Linked DNA regions of Alligator mississippiensis. The protein of the gene in region 1 purifies or fractionates together with the protein of each later gene. This does not show direct contact. Links are inferred from orthologs where the notes say so. Each region holds a gene or a part of one and is shown in the gene's direction. Other genes may lie near its edges.

Region 1 (7,468 bases):
TCCTTGCTAGCAACCCTATGTGAAATCAGTGATTTTCTGGAGGAAAGGAAGACTAACAGAACAGAAAATAACTAGCCAACATCAGTCAAATGCAGATGATCATCACCAACACCCTCAAGAATCATCTTATTCCAAAGTATTCCTTCAGAGGAGTTCAGTTTCAGTTTAGAGTATCATATGCTGTCCAGTCCAAAGCTCAGTGACCTCCTCATCCTTGTTGTCGTAAAAGAAGACTGTTGCATGAGAATGCCAACTATTTTTATTTCAAATGCTTGAGAAAGTGAATTTTGACCACCAATGTATTTTCTCCATTATGCTTTTCTATGGTGATCTTCATGAAGGCTCTTCTATGCAAAGCATTTCCCAATTGCTTGGAGATACCTCAAGAGGTCTTTATCTAGCACCCTTACAACTGCAGATGTGTCTTACTTATCAGAGTAGGAAATTGAATTGAATTAAATCAAATTGAATTAAACACAAAATTCTTAATGTTCACTGGCATTATTTTGCTAGTCATCCTATAAATGGACAAGTCAATTTTGCATCTTTATATTTCCATGTACTGTTTCAATGGAGTTACACCAGGCAAAAAAAACAATTTACAGGAGATTTTGACTTATTAAAGCTCAATTCTGCTGTCAGTCAAAAGAGGTACAAGAGTTCCTGTGGACTACAATAGAAGTCTAAAGCTACATAGCAGCAATTCCATGTTGCCAAGTCCAAAGCAATGTCCCTAGAAGATCCAGAGGCCCCTACACTCCTCCTTAACTCCAGGATGGCAGGTCCCTCCAGGATTACAAAATTTAAAAAACAAAACAAAAACCCACAACCAACAGGCAAAGAAAGATGACATGAACAGCAACAAATGTGTTCTTCATAGAAAGTATAGGGAGAAGAAATGGGGAGATATTTTTTGGATAAGCAAGCCATTAACAGTTTCTAAAAGTTCCTGTTCATATCCAAAGCATTTGGTATTTCAAGTCATGTAAGTTTTGCCCAACTTCAGAAAGTAGGCTTCGTTGTAACCATAGCGCTAAGAGAGTGGTTTTCCCCTCTGTACTTTTCAAGCTACCATAGGAAGTTAAGGACATCACTATTATCCACACTAAATAGGAAGTAGGTGAAAAACAATAAAACTGAAATATACAAAAGATATTTTAAAGCTTCTCCACTGCCACACAAAGACCAATCATACAACCAAGAACAACTTACAAGATTTTTTTTTAAGTACCCATTAACAAATTTTGATCTTTCTAGACACACATCATTGCAATAGGCATACAACTTCACAGATACCCTATTAACTAGCCACAGTAACAAACTACACATATCTTTCCAGAGTGCAAAATCATGGAGCTTCAGCTCTACAGGTCAGATAACCCACCAGTCTTCCTAAATTATCAAAGGTTACAAAACACCAGAAAGCAAGAAATTTAAAAAGAAATTATCCAGCAAGTTTTCAAACTCCCAGGTCCCCTGCTATAACTTCAGGAAAAAACAAGTCAATAACCAGCTTCATGCCTAATATCTACCGCAGGTGTAGTAAGTAAGAGTTCATTGGGGCCAGAGGCTTTCACTAACCCCGTTTGTGGTCAGTGCCAGGTGTGTAGAACCCCCACCCCCTCATCATAATGACCAAGTGTGCCTCTCTCTCTCCTTTCTCCCAGAGTTGCATGTTTTTCCTTCCTTGTTTTCAAATGAAAGAATATCTTATTTGCATTTAGATTTTTTGGTTTTTCGGATACTATCTCTATTTTATGCCTTCCTCAGTTGCATTAGCTTCACATTGTAAAGCCTTATCTTAGAAAGTTCTGACAAACATTCATTACGGGAGTCCTTTAAATTTTGACAATGCTAATACTAAAAACCTTTTATTTGCATTTCAATCATGCTTCTTTGGGTTTCCACAGCAGAATCTGATTTACAGGTTTAGCAGGTGTAAATTACCATAGCAAGTAGGCAATGGCAAATTTACAGCAGTGGAGGCTCTGGCCCTCTGTTTCTCTTTATAGGTTGCAGTCACTATACCCTTGTCCATATTTGAGGACTGCAGCAGTTACCTTTATTTAAAAATCAACCTACTTAAGCTGTTGCAAACTCTTAATACCTAAACTGGTTTAATCCATACTTAAGTCACTTCAGTTTGTGATGGAGAGATACATACATCAGTCTATCTTAAATTGGTAAGCAAGGGCTAAACTAGTTTGTATTGGTTCAAAACAAGGATGCTACAGCACCCTGACATCCTTTCAAGGATGACATGGAGTGCCACACAATGTTGGTATTGTTAATTGTGCAAACATGATTCACAAGATAAACACAGAGATTTCAAATGAAAATCCATAATGTCAAAACCATTTTGACCTGTTGTGGTCTTTGAGTTCTTTGCAACAGAAGAATTGCTCTATTCTTTTTCCATACTCAAAAAATGAGTGAAAATTAAGAGCTGGCATGCGGTGCCTTGAGTCTAACAAGAGTTACCTTGAGTCTCGAAGAAGGTTGAGAAGTTTGCATTTTGTAAGCATCTCTCTATACTTGCCTACTTCATTGCATTAGAATCATTTTCTAGAATTTTGCACTACCAGGATGTCTAGACATCTAACTTATTGCAATTTTAAACCTTCATCTCAGTGAGCAGTAAATCCAGTTGCTAGGGTTTTGCTTAAGATTTTGGACGGATCTTTGAGGAATGCTATCCTGGAGTGTCTTTTTTTTTTTTAAATCTGAGACACATAATTAAACCTGTTAGTCTGAAATTAAGTAGAAGGCCGGGCAGATTTGCATGTTATAGACTAACAGAAGTGTGTGTGTGTGCATGCACGTGTGTGTGCATGTATCGCGCACACATGTGTACACACATGTATATACACACGTATATACACATGCACACACATGTATATACACAGGCAGACAAGGTTCCTTGGGTGAATTTGATATCTTTTATTAGACCAACCCAAATGGTTGGTGAATAGTTATTAAGCAAGCTTTCGGGTTCAAAAACCCTTCGTCAGGCTAAGGAAGCTTCTTCAGCAGTTGGTGTGTGCTCTTCCTGGATGGTGTATATACACATACATTTATATCTATATATAGATATATATCTACACTTATACACACATACAGTAGAAAGCTTGTGCTTGCTATCTATACGTGTGTATGTATATATATCCACTTACATACACATATACATAGATAGCACAAGCTTTCCTGAGCTGAAGTTCACTTCAACCAATGTTGTGAAAGGAAGTGCAACAAGCAGTGTAGGAGAAAGAACATTTTTTCTCCTTTTCTTCTTCTACACTGCTTGTTGTATGTCCTTTCACACCATTGGTTAAAATTAGCTTCATCTCATGAAAGCTTGTGATTATACTTACAAACAAAACATGAAAATGTGCCCCTCAACCTCAAGAAAGCAGGATCTTAGGGGTGGCAGAAACCTCTAGTTGTATTTGCTTCCCTCCCTGCCATTTCTCTTTATAGGTTGCCGTCACTATTGCCTTGTCCATATTTGAGGAGTGCAGCCATTCAGTTATGTTTATTTAAAATCAATCTACTTAAACTGTTCCAAACCCTTAATACCTAAAATGGGAAAAACACAGGAAAAGGGCAGAGCAACTGCAGGTGCTTCCTCAGCATGACGAAGGGTGATTGTGTCTGAAAGTTGCAAAGAAGAATTTTTCCAACTGTTTGAGTGGGTCTAATAAAAGATACCAGATTCACCCAAAGAATCTTGTCTGCCTCTGTCCTTAGACCAACACGGCTACAACCTACACCCCTGCAACATGGCAGATATATATACACACACACACACACACACACACACACACACATGTATGCACACATGCATACATACGCCCACACACATACATGTGTATGTAGATCTGTACGCATGTATACACACACACACATATACGCATACAAATATACACATATTTGTAAGCCTATATGTATGCATGTATATATAGCTAAGTGTGTGTATGTATGTATCGATATCTATCTATATAGCCATATGTATGCCTGTATCCATATCTTTTGGGGTGTGTATACATGTGCATGTGCACAGTCATCTGCATACGCACCTGCGTAGCCATAAGTATACACACACACCCCGGGGTTAGTCTATACGGTGCAACTCTCCGGAGCCTCCTGTCCCAGAGCGGTGCCCGGAAAGCTGCAAGCCCTGCCGCGGCTCTCGACTCATGTTCTGGGAAGGGGGCAGCCAACACCGCTCCGGGGCTCCTTCCCGCTTCCGACCTGGGTTCTCGGGGCTGGGGGCGAGGAGAGGGAGCCTCCGCGGCCGCCCCCCACGCCTCTCGTCCCGCCTTGCAGCCCCCGGCGCCCGTCGAGCCCGCGGGGCGGGCGCGGGACGCGGCAGGGCAGGGCAGGGCAGGGCAGGGCGGGGCGGGGCGGGGCAGGAGGGAGGGGGAGGGGAGGCGCTGGACTGCTCCAGGGACTCGCCCGCATTTAAGGCGGGGCAGTGCGCGGCGTGTCCTTCCTGCGTCCCGAGCCCCGCTGCAGCTGTCGGACCCCTTTGGCTCCTGCAGCCGCTAGGATGCCGGTGAAAGGAGGCATTAAGTGTATCAAGTACCTGCTCTTCGTCTTCAACTTCATCTTCTGGGTAAGGGGCACCCCAGAGCGGAGGGAGGGTCCAGGGGTTGGGCTCCCTGCCTTGCAAACTCGCCTCACCGGAGCCCTGGCTGGGCTGGGCTGCCCCCCCCGCGCGCTCTGCCTCAGGCTGGAGGTGGCTCCGGGCGGGGGGACGAGGGGCCCCAGGGAGCGGAGCCTGGAGCCGAATTGGGTGGGAGGAAGTAGCCTGCACAGCCCCTGGAGCTGCCGAGCAGTGCCAGCTCCACAGGTGCCTGATGCCATGCAGGGGGCTGCACCCTGGTTGCAAAGTGAAGTGGGGCAAGCTAGTTTTGCAGCCTCTTTAAGAGAGGTGCTCCGCACCCCAGGAGTCCTGTCCTGCCTCTGGAAAGTCCCCATCCCGCAAGGCTTTCTCCTCGCCCTCCCCAGGGCTGGCTCAGCTCTCTCGCTTTTCTCTCTTGTGTTGGCATCAAGGCTTCTTCTCTGTCTGCCAGAGACAGGAGCCACTCTGCTTTCTGCTTCCCTGGGTCTCGGGGGGGCCCTGCTACCTGTTGCACACCTTGCACCCTTGACTGGCGTGAAACTTGCACTGCCCTTGCTTGGTTTGCTAAGCAAAATGCAGCGATAAGTGTCCCGTTTTAAATGTGGCCCGGCCACACCTGCCACGTCGGATCAAAGTGACTCTCCCAGCTCTGAAGATGTTAGTAGTTGGTGCCTGAAAACTCGTTTGGGACCACCTTTTGTTTGAAGCTGGGCCTTTGGGCAGAGGTGTGAGGGCCTGCCTGAAGTTCAACCCTGACTCCCCCTCCCCAAGGTGTCTGGGCTGCTCTGGAGGATAATCTTTGAGGCCCCTTCCAACCCTGTGATTTAGGGCTATTTATTTATTATTGCTATCTTTTTTTAACGCTGTTTCACTTCCTTGTTCCTGCTCTTCTATAGGGCAGCATAACGTGGCATAGCTTTGTTTTCAATCTGGGAACACACTGAAGATGTACGCAGGTTCCCCCAGCAATGCAGGCGCAACATGGAGTCCAAGAGTTTGTTCCTGAGAAGTTAAACTCTCTCTCGGCGAGACTTAGCTGGTTGAGTTCTTGGATTTCTTTTTATGTGCCTTCTTTTAAAGCGATGTGCTAAGATGCCTTGCAAAAACAGGATGAGACAACAACTGTTTTTGCCTCTGGCCACACCTTTTTTTCTGTTTAGTCTGAATTCAGTTGAAGCGCTCTGTGGTGTTTTGCTGGTAGGACCTTCCTTTGCAGCTGTTGGGATTCCTCTCTGACATGTTTAGAGGTGCAGACCTTGAGTGCAGGAAGTCTCAAATGGGTTGAACTCCATGGAGCACAGTAACAAATTGAGGCAGGTCTTCAACCTAGCGCTGCACAACGCAAGGGCCGTCGGTAATATCTGAAAAAAGTTGTGAGATTAGTTGATTGTTAGGCAGAAGGTGGGGATCTCGTAGACTAAATTGTTCAGAGAAGGAGACTTTAGGGGTAGCTTCATCAAATTCTTTTTATCCCTTTGAGTATTTAGAGGGATCAACTGTATTTCTATCTGTTTGCACTGCTAGGTAAAAGTCTGTCTATGGCTGTAAAATAACAGTGAGGAACTGGCTACCAAGGGAAAGTAATAGATGCTTCTGCGGACTCTCTTTAAACATCTGGCAAAGTCAAGTTATGAATCGAAGGCAGTTGCTTCTGGGTACATCCAATAGTATGTGTGAGCAGGTGTCTGGGGATGTGGCTTGTTTGTTGTTTTTCGTGTGTGGTTTTTTTTGTTTTTTTTTTTTAAATCTACTTCCTATGCCAGCTTCAGAGAAACATCTTTATGAAGTATTTTAAAAGAAGTGATTTATAGTAGGTCTGTGAAAAAAGGGTATTTACTTAGAGTAAAGGTGGTTTTTAAAGAGGATATGGGAAGGCCACATGGTCCATAGCATTCTGAGTAGTATACCATTACTAAGATCTTATTTACAGGCTTGAATAAATGGGTGCCTTAGGCCCAAATGGTAAATTTTAGCCCTGTAACCAGCCAAGGCAGAGCACTCAAGGGAACTCTGTGAAAAGGGAGAGGCAGAGACTGTAGGAAGCAAAGTATGTACAAAAAAGCAAAGGTTTTTGCATGTACTGTATTTGCTAAACATTAACTTTTGTGTTTGGGGGAAGGGAAGCTGTTTCCTAGGCTAATTCTTATCCCAGGCCTATGTAGTCAAACTTATGGTGTCTTTGCTCGCAACTGGAATGGTATTTACCTGAAGGCTAGATGACTTCAATAAATGATTCTTCATGTGGTTCTTTGTCAAAACCACTTGGATTCGGCAGCAAACTTACAGTGCAGCACTCTGTTTACTCAGCAGTGCTCTGCTATGATCTGCAACTTGCACAGGCTGCTAACTTTGTGAATGCAGTTGAAATGTCTATAATTGGTAAGCAGCTGAAATGCTACTGAGAATATCTTTGCCAATGGTGCCAGAACAGCTGTGAAAGGAGCTCTCCCTTAGTTCTTGGAGCATTAATCTAAGTTTAGTGACTAAGGATTAGCTCTAGGCCTAGACTTTTTATTAGATTGTTTCTTGTTCTTTTCTTAAAAAGAAAAATAAAAAAAAAAAAAAAAAGCACTGAAATGTGTGCTGGTTGGTTGGGGATATAGGATAAGAAAAAGAATGGTGTATATTTTAGAGTAAGTTTGGTTTATAAATGCAATTTGGCCTGTCAAGATGAGATAAATATTTGGGAGTTGGGAAGGCAAAGGAGAGGATGGTGCTCAAGACTTGTTTGCCTTCCCTCCAAGTTGACCTTCATCTGATGAGGTCAAGGTAAGCTATTGCTGAAAACTCTCTAAAGCTGGAAACTGGCACATAGACACTCAATCATAGCATCAGATTTCAGCT
Region 2 (7,628 bases), about 72 Mb from region 1:
ATGGAGCCCAGGCTGCTTGCAGCAAGGCTGACAGCTGAGCCTGCCTGACTTCCACCTTCGCCCAGCCCCCCCCCCCCCGCCATGAGGTTGATGATGCCCCCTTGCCAGAAGCACCGCACCTTTTGTGGGCTTGGGTAGGTGGTTGGGCTGATGGGCAGGCTCTGGGCCGGGGCCTTGGCCAGTTGTGCTGCAGCGTGGGGTGTGGCTCCCCAGGGAGGCACAGGAGCTCTGACGGGACCAGGGCATTGTTGGGTCAGACTTTGTCCAGTGGCCCAGGATCCTGGCTCCATGTGCCTGCGCATCTGGTTCTGTGTGTCTGTCTGCCTCTGTGTGTCTGTGCCCACACATCTGGTTCTGGATGTGTGTGTGTGTGCACGTGTCTGTTCTGGTTCTCTGTATTTGTGCATGTGTCTCTGTCTCATTGCCTCCTGTTGAACTTGTTGCAATATTTATGATTTATTAAATATATTAATATGCAGTGTGTCCTGCCATGTTCCTACCTGTTTCTTTTCTCTTCCCCCCCCCCCTTTTGTTTTTCTGGCATGCTCACACTCCCACACCTTCCAAGGTAGACATTGTGGGTTTTTTTGGCACTCCAGCCAAAAAACATTGCCTACCCCTGTGTTACAAGATATTATAAAGCACTAGCCTTCAATTATTTACAAACTGTATAAATATAGCCATGATTGTTATTGTGTAAATATCAATGGTAGAAATACAAATACTGATAGTGTAAACACAACTATTTTTTAATTGCCCTGACCTCTAACCTGCTCGGAGCACACTTCTTTTTTTTCCCCCCCCCCTCAAAATGCCAACAGCTGCAGGTGTCTTATGTACTCCAGTGCTCTTACAAGTCCTAACAACAGCAGTGAACCAGAAGCAAAGATAACAGTAGTAAAAATTCTAACACAAATATGCTAGCAAATAAAAGGTTAATTGTTTGTTCAGCTGATTGCCAGTGTTCAGAGGTGTTAACATAATAGAAGTTACCTGAGAACTAGCAGTTTAAAAAAATTGTGAAAGTGTTGCTTTCAAGAAACTGTTCAAAGAGCTTGATTTGACATATACACATTCTGGACATGTAAAATTAATTAATATTTAAAATGATTAAAGTTTAATAATTTGGAGTTCCTCATAATTGGGTCTAGCATGGTAGGTCTGGATCAGGTTTTCTGAATTTAGATTTAAAAAAAGAGAATACACTTATTATCACTTAAAAATGAAAAGGGGATATAGTTGCATATTTCCACTTTTAAAGACGGGTGTTTTTTTGTTTTTTTTTTTTATGTGCCACATTAAAGAAATTCAGCTGTATCCCCCTCTGTAACGGTAAATGATTTGCAACTCTTTAGGTCAGATAAATGTAAGGTATTGTTCAAATAGAAGGTAAAAGTTTAGCTGTGTGAAACATCGCTCTTTCAAGTTTCTCCAGCAGACAAAATAAAACATCTTTTGTGGCTCCAGCTCCCCACACCTTTCTTCTGAAAATGAAAAATTATTTGTTATAATTAACTACACAGCTTGTTACATTGAGGAGGAGAGCAGGCTTGGCACGGATGTTTTCTCAATATGTAGGCTCAGCAGGCCAACGCCTTGTAGTCCATTTGGCAGAAAACCAACATACCATTAGTGAGCAGACACCTGAAAACTCAGCTATGGCAGAGCATGTGTTTTAAAGATAGGCCACATGGTTTTGATCTAGCTGAAAGATGGCATCTTTTTTTATATTCAGTACAGTGGCCAAAGTTAATTTTAATTGGTTGTTATACCTAATCCTTATTCTCTCTTTTTTTTTTTTTTTATACTGGGATACTGAAGGGCTTCTTATTCTGCACTGTTTCAGTTTCTAGATCAGTGATTCTCAACTTCTTTTAAGATCATGGCACTCCTCATTAGACTCATTGCTCTCTTTGGAAAATGCCAGTCCTTAGTTTACACTTCTTTTTTGGCTGCAAGAAAAATAGAGAATTTTTTTTTTGTTGCAAGCAACTCAAAGATCACAGCACATCAGAATGTTTTTAATGCCATGAATTCCTATTTGAAATCTCTGGGTTCATTTTGTGAATCATCCTTGCACACGCCTGGTAGTGCTAATGTTGTGACACACCCTGGAAAGGGTCTCTGGTGCTGTGGCACCGGTTCTAAAAAGTCCAATAACATTATCTTTTTGAAGGTAGGATCCATTTCTGAGATTCCACAGTCTGACTGGGAAAGGAAAAGGGAAATAACCATTTCCCACTTGTTTCTCTTATTTCTGTAGGACAAATTAAAGTGCATAGAGTAAAATGTTGTTTAAGTGCCCATCCAAGGGCCATACTACAAAGCACTCCTAAAGAGTTTGAGTGTAGTTCTACTCTACCTTTTTATAAGCAATCCTTCTTGTCAGTCCTGTGAGTGATCACTCCAAACAAGTCTTATGCAGCTCATAGATTCATAGATGTTAGGGTCGGAAGGGACCTCAATAGATCATCAAGTCCGACCCCCTGCATAAGCAGGAAAGAGTGCTGGGTCTAGATGACCCCAGAGTGCTGGGTCTAGATGACTCGTCCAACCTCCTCTTGAAGACCCCCAGGGTAGGGGAGAGCACCACCTCCCTTGGGAGCCCGTTCCAGACCTTGGCCACTCGAACTGTGAAGAAGTTCTTCCTTATGTCCAGTCTAAATCTGCTCTCTACTAGCTTGTGGCCATTGTTTCTTGTAACCCCCGGGGACGCCTTGGTGAATAAATCCTCACCAATTCCCTTCTGTGCCCCCGTGATGAACTTATAGGCAGCCACAAGGTCACCTCTCAACCTTCTCTTGTGGAGGCTGAAAAGGTCCAGTTTCTCTAGTCTCTCCTCGTAGGGCTTGGTCTGCAGGCCCTTGACCATACGAGTTGCCCTTCGCTGTACCCTCTCCAGGTTATCCGCATCCTTCTTGAAGTGTGGCGCCCAGAATTGCACGCAGTACTCCAACTGCGGTCTGACCAACGCCCTATAGAGGGGAAGTATCACCTCCCTGGACCTATTTGTCATGCATCTGCTGATGCACGATAAAGTGCCATTGGCTTTTCTGATGGCTTCGTCACACTGCCGGCTCATGTTCATCTTGGAGTCCACTAGGACTCCAAGATCCCTTTCCACCTCTGTGCCACCCAGCAGGTCATTCCCTAGGCTGTAGGTGTGCTGGACATTTTTCCTCCCTAGGTGCATCACTTTGCATTTCTCCTTGTTGAACTGCATCTTGTTGTTTTCTGCCCACTTGTCCAGCCTATCCAGGTCCAGCTGTGGTTTGGAACCCTCATTACTGAGTTACTTTTGGAGAGGAGACTGTTCAGAGAAGTTTTTCCTGTAGCAACTACTATGGATAATAACGATGAATAAAACTTGGCAAAATGTGAACTTCATTAGGGATTTCCACCCTCGGCCCCCCCTATGTGACAAGGACATCTCAACCACTTTTCAGATATGGTATAACAGTATTTGAATGATGCCCCCTACCTCATTAAAAGAGTTATGCAGAGCAACTACTACACTTCTTAATGTATTATGGGATGCAGCTCTGATTGTTCTTGAGGGGAAAAAATTCTTTATTACTTTGATACACATCTCAGAGTTGTTTTAAAAATTTGTTGTTCGTATTTGTTTTCAAGTTCTTATTAATTACCAGCACATTTATGGGCTATAATCAAGGAAACTTACTGTAGCAAGTCCTCTCCATCTTCGAAGTCCATGACAGTGTAGTGTTTGTCAACAGTTTTCTGCCATGAGAGTGAAGTGACCATGTGACCAAACACTGGATTATAAAATTGCATAAATCTGACTGTGCTGGGATGAAACTTTATCAGGTGGAAAAGGCATCTCCCTCTGAGATCCTTATTTGACCAAACATGCATGAAGGTTTCCAGCCTATAGACTATGGGACACATTTTTGGGTGACTTAATACTTGCCTGTACTTTCTTCTGGCTTGGGGCTTATGAGTCTTTATAGCTAAAAACTTGCTTACACACCTGTTATTTGAGCACAGTTGCTCAGGCTCGCTATGCTGGAATAACTGTCCTGGCCTAACTCTCGTTGGAATAGCTCTCCTTACAGAATCAAAGCATCTGCCCAGACTGCTAACCAGAATGGTGGTTTTGCTTTAAATCTTCCTCCTGCGTTTTTCCAAAGCCACCTTTTGGCCCTTTAGAGGAGTCTTAAAACTTCTTCTGCCCCTACTCTAAAAAGTGTAATTGCTCTTTTCTAAGAAAGAGTACCGTATTACTTTTGGAGGTTTAGTGATTTAAAAAAAACAAACCCTTAATTTAGGAAAAGGAAGGGAGTGCTGGATGCCTAATGGCAGTGAACTACAGACCGAAATAAACCCGTGGTGCCCGTCGGCCGGGGGGTGCCGGGGCGCGGGGCTGCCGCGGGGAGAGGCGGCGGCGGCTGGGAGCCGCAGACGCGCTCCGTGACGGGCCAAGGACGGGGCGGACTGGGCTGGGCTCTGGAGGCGCCGCCAGCCCCTACACCCGCTGCCTCCCCCGCGCCTGCTCACGGGGCCGCCCCCGCCGGCCGCAGCCGAGGGCTGGAGCCTCCTCCCCAGCGGGGCGCGGCGGCCGCACCTGCCGGGGGGCCGGGCCGGGCGGGGCGGGCCGGCGCCGTCACTCCGCTCGCGGCCTCGGGAGAACAAGGGCCCTGCGCGGAGGAGTAGCAGGTTCCGCGGCCGCCGGCGGGAACAGATGGCGGCGCCGCTCGGCCTCTACCTGCGCCTGGGGCAGTGGCTGCTGCTGCTGCCCGGCCTCGCCCGCGCCTTCAACCTGGACGCGGAGCAGGCGGTCGTGCGGCGCGGCGGCAAGGGCAGCCTCTTCGGCTTCTCCCTGGCCATGCACTGGCAGCTGCAGCCGCAGGACAAGAGACTGTGAGTGACCCGGCCCCGGGCCAAACTTCCCCGCTCCCCTCCCCTCTGCTCCGCTCCGCTCCCCGGGCAGGTCCCGGGCGGGCAGCACCGACTCGGCCAGGCCGGGCCGCGGCCACCTGTTGGCGGGGCGGCGGAGCGGTGACGGGCGATCGCCATTTGCCGCCCCGGGCGCTGGTGCCGGGATCCGGGATCCGGGCGGGGGCGGTGCCAGGTCCCGCGGCCGCGGAGGGAGGCGGCTGCTTGAGGCGGGGGGGCCTGCAGGCTGCTGCCATGTGCGCCGCTCCCGGGGAGCCGCGGTCTCGCTGCCGGGGCCGGGGGAGCTGCGCCCCTCGCACGTGCTCCAGCTGTGAAGCTGGCTGGAAAAGACTTAAGCTGCTGCTTCCCCGGGCAGGAGGACAGCTAGTCCTCCGGGGCTCCGTCTGCCCCACCACTTGATCAGGAGCCCGGGAGGGATATCATAGTATTTTACCAGCTCCTTTTCAAGGCTGAGCTGGTCTCGCACTCCTCATGGGAAGACGGCACGGGGGCGGGTGTTGCCAGTGTAATGGTGCAAGGAAAGGCGGCGCTTATGGAACAGCCAAAGGCGAAATGAACGGGACCTTCTCCCAGGCCTCCTCCCCGGGCTTCCCTGCGGAGCTGCCTGGTGTTTACTACCTTCTGTATGTGGTATCGTTGGGTGACACTGAGGAGAAGTTTCCTTGTGACAGGACAAGTAAAGCCCTCATATTTTGCTTTAATGCAGAAAGAAATAAGAGCGTGGGAACTGCCCTTGCAAGAGAGAAGTGGGGCAAGTAGCAGTCAGAAAGAAAGTTACGTTTATAGGTCTGTATTTTGCCCTGACTTGCACTTGTGAAACTACTAATTGCAGTGAAGTTGCATGAGTGAACATCAACAGCTATTATTGTTAGCTCTTCATGCTTATAGGACAGGGGCTGCCAAAGGCAGAAGAATAAATATCTTAATGCAAGAAGTTGCTTTTTAGAATCGTACATCATTGTCCCATCTTGACGGCATTATTATTGCGGTTCTTAAAAGCTTGTGTCATTTTACTCTAAACGGTCAATAAAAGGACAATCTACAGTTTGTTAGACCTTGTATGGTACAGTCAAATGTGGCTAGTGAGTAGATATTAAAATGTCTAGGGATATTAAACCAATAGAAGGACAATGTACAGTTTATTAGCTTCCTATGGTATGGCCAAATGCAGCTAGTAGTTAGGAATTGGAATATGTGGGGACATAAAATCATTCTGTAGGGGTTCTTGGTCTTGGGAGGCCAGTTGCAATGTTCAGGCAAGTTTGTGAAATTTTAGATTAAAATTTCTCTCAGATTATTAGAACGACACTTCTGCGTTAGCTGTATGTATAGAACACTTGGTGGCAATTCAGATCTGAGGGAAGAGAAAATAAGCAGATCCTTAACTTATGGACAGGGCTCTCTGGAAAAAAAACCCTGAGTAATGCAGAACCAGACTAGGGAACAGTACGCACAGGCTGAATCCTGCAGACTCCATCGGAGTCGTGCAAACTACTGTAAGGTAGAAGACAGGGTAGAGTTGCACGTAATAGACTAACTTGAAGAGTGGCCCAGCAGTTTAGGTGCTCTCTGTGTTTTAGGAGACGAAGGTTCAATTCCCTGCTGTACCTCCATTTCTATCTGTAAAATGGGGTTAATTATATTTTCTGGCCTTACTGGGGTGTTGTAAGAATAAAAGCATTAAATATTGTAAACTGCCTGGATACTTCAGTAGTGTTGGCATATAAAATACATTATGCAGATAGCATCCCTAGAAGGCAACATTTTTAAGCTCTGTGGTGCTGGAAACATCTTGTCAAATAGCAACATAATCAAACTCAGTGGGAGTTTCGTCATTGGAAAACTGAACTAAAGGACTATTTTTCAGACTTTGTCTTGTATTAGTAAAAAACTAGATAAAATAATGGTACTTATTGTTGGTAGCAAACGACTCCTTTACAGAGTCCATTGGGTACACTGAGGCCACCCCAAACACAGGAACTCTTTCTAGAGGCAGGACAGCTTATGTCCTTTGTGCATGTGTTTCAGGGAGGTCTGGGTGCTGGCAGCAATTGAGCCTATTTGACAGTTAAGTAGGTAAAAATTACTGTTATTGTCACAGCTGAAGATAGGACATGCTGTTGGGAGTGATTTCAGACTACCTGTGGGTCTGCAGCTCTATCCAGCTTTGTTTTTTCAGCTCTTTTGCAAAGATAGTTTTATAAGCTGCGGCCTCATTGAATCAAACACCCAGATCAGCTGAAACAAAAACAATAGATTTATTTATTTTGCGTGTTCATCTTTATCGAATGCTAACTTCAAAGCTCAGCTATAGATTTTTAAGTGAGCACTATTAAACATGCAGCCAAAATGCACAAAACACATTTTACCACTGAACCTTAATTGAATGTGACAGCTGGGTTCTTGCTTGGCATGGTTCTTCAATCTAAATCATAAATCCAGACTGGGATCATTTTGTGCCAAGTAATTGGATCCTAGCAAAAGCAAGCAGGGAAGAGAATCCTTGGGCTTTATCATTTGAATCTAGGAATAGAGAACCCATTTCAGCATGCCAACTGCATGTTATCAAAGATGGTCTTTAGTTGTCTCAGCAATATTTTCTTAATCTTCCTTCTTTACCTGATACAGGTTTCAAGATAAATTATTTTCATTTTCTTGTCATCACTGTTTGATTGCTCAGAGTGAGAATTACAAAACCTTTGTAGGATGCG

The links. Proteins that work in one complex are often made in the same cells at the same time.
Region 2: the proteins of CD9 (region 1) and ITGA6 purify together in Homo sapiens (co-immunoprecipitation; 3 studies listed by BioGRID and IntAct, with this or other methods). This does not show direct contact. The link is inferred for Alligator mississippiensis from reciprocal best matches to the Homo sapiens genes CD9 and ITGA6.

Annotation. Positions count from the first base shown.
Region 1 is NC_081827.1:140,329,834-140,337,301, reverse strand, and holds the start of CD9 (CD9 antigen), read left to right. Parts: upstream 1-4,464; 5' UTR 4,465-4,549; coding exon 4,550-4,615; intron 4,616-7,468. UniProt on the Homo sapiens protein: Integral membrane protein associated with integrins, which regulates different processes, such as sperm-egg fusion, platelet activation and aggregation, and cell adhesion.
Region 2 is NC_081827.1:211,944,905-211,952,532, reverse strand, and holds the start of ITGA6 (integrin alpha-6), read left to right. Parts: upstream 1-4,614; 5' UTR 4,615-4,702; coding exon 4,703-4,881; intron 4,882-7,628. UniProt on the Homo sapiens protein: Integrin alpha-6/beta-1 (ITGA6:ITGB1) is a receptor for laminin on platelets. Integrin alpha-6/beta-1 (ITGA6:ITGB1) is present in oocytes and is involved in sperm-egg fusion.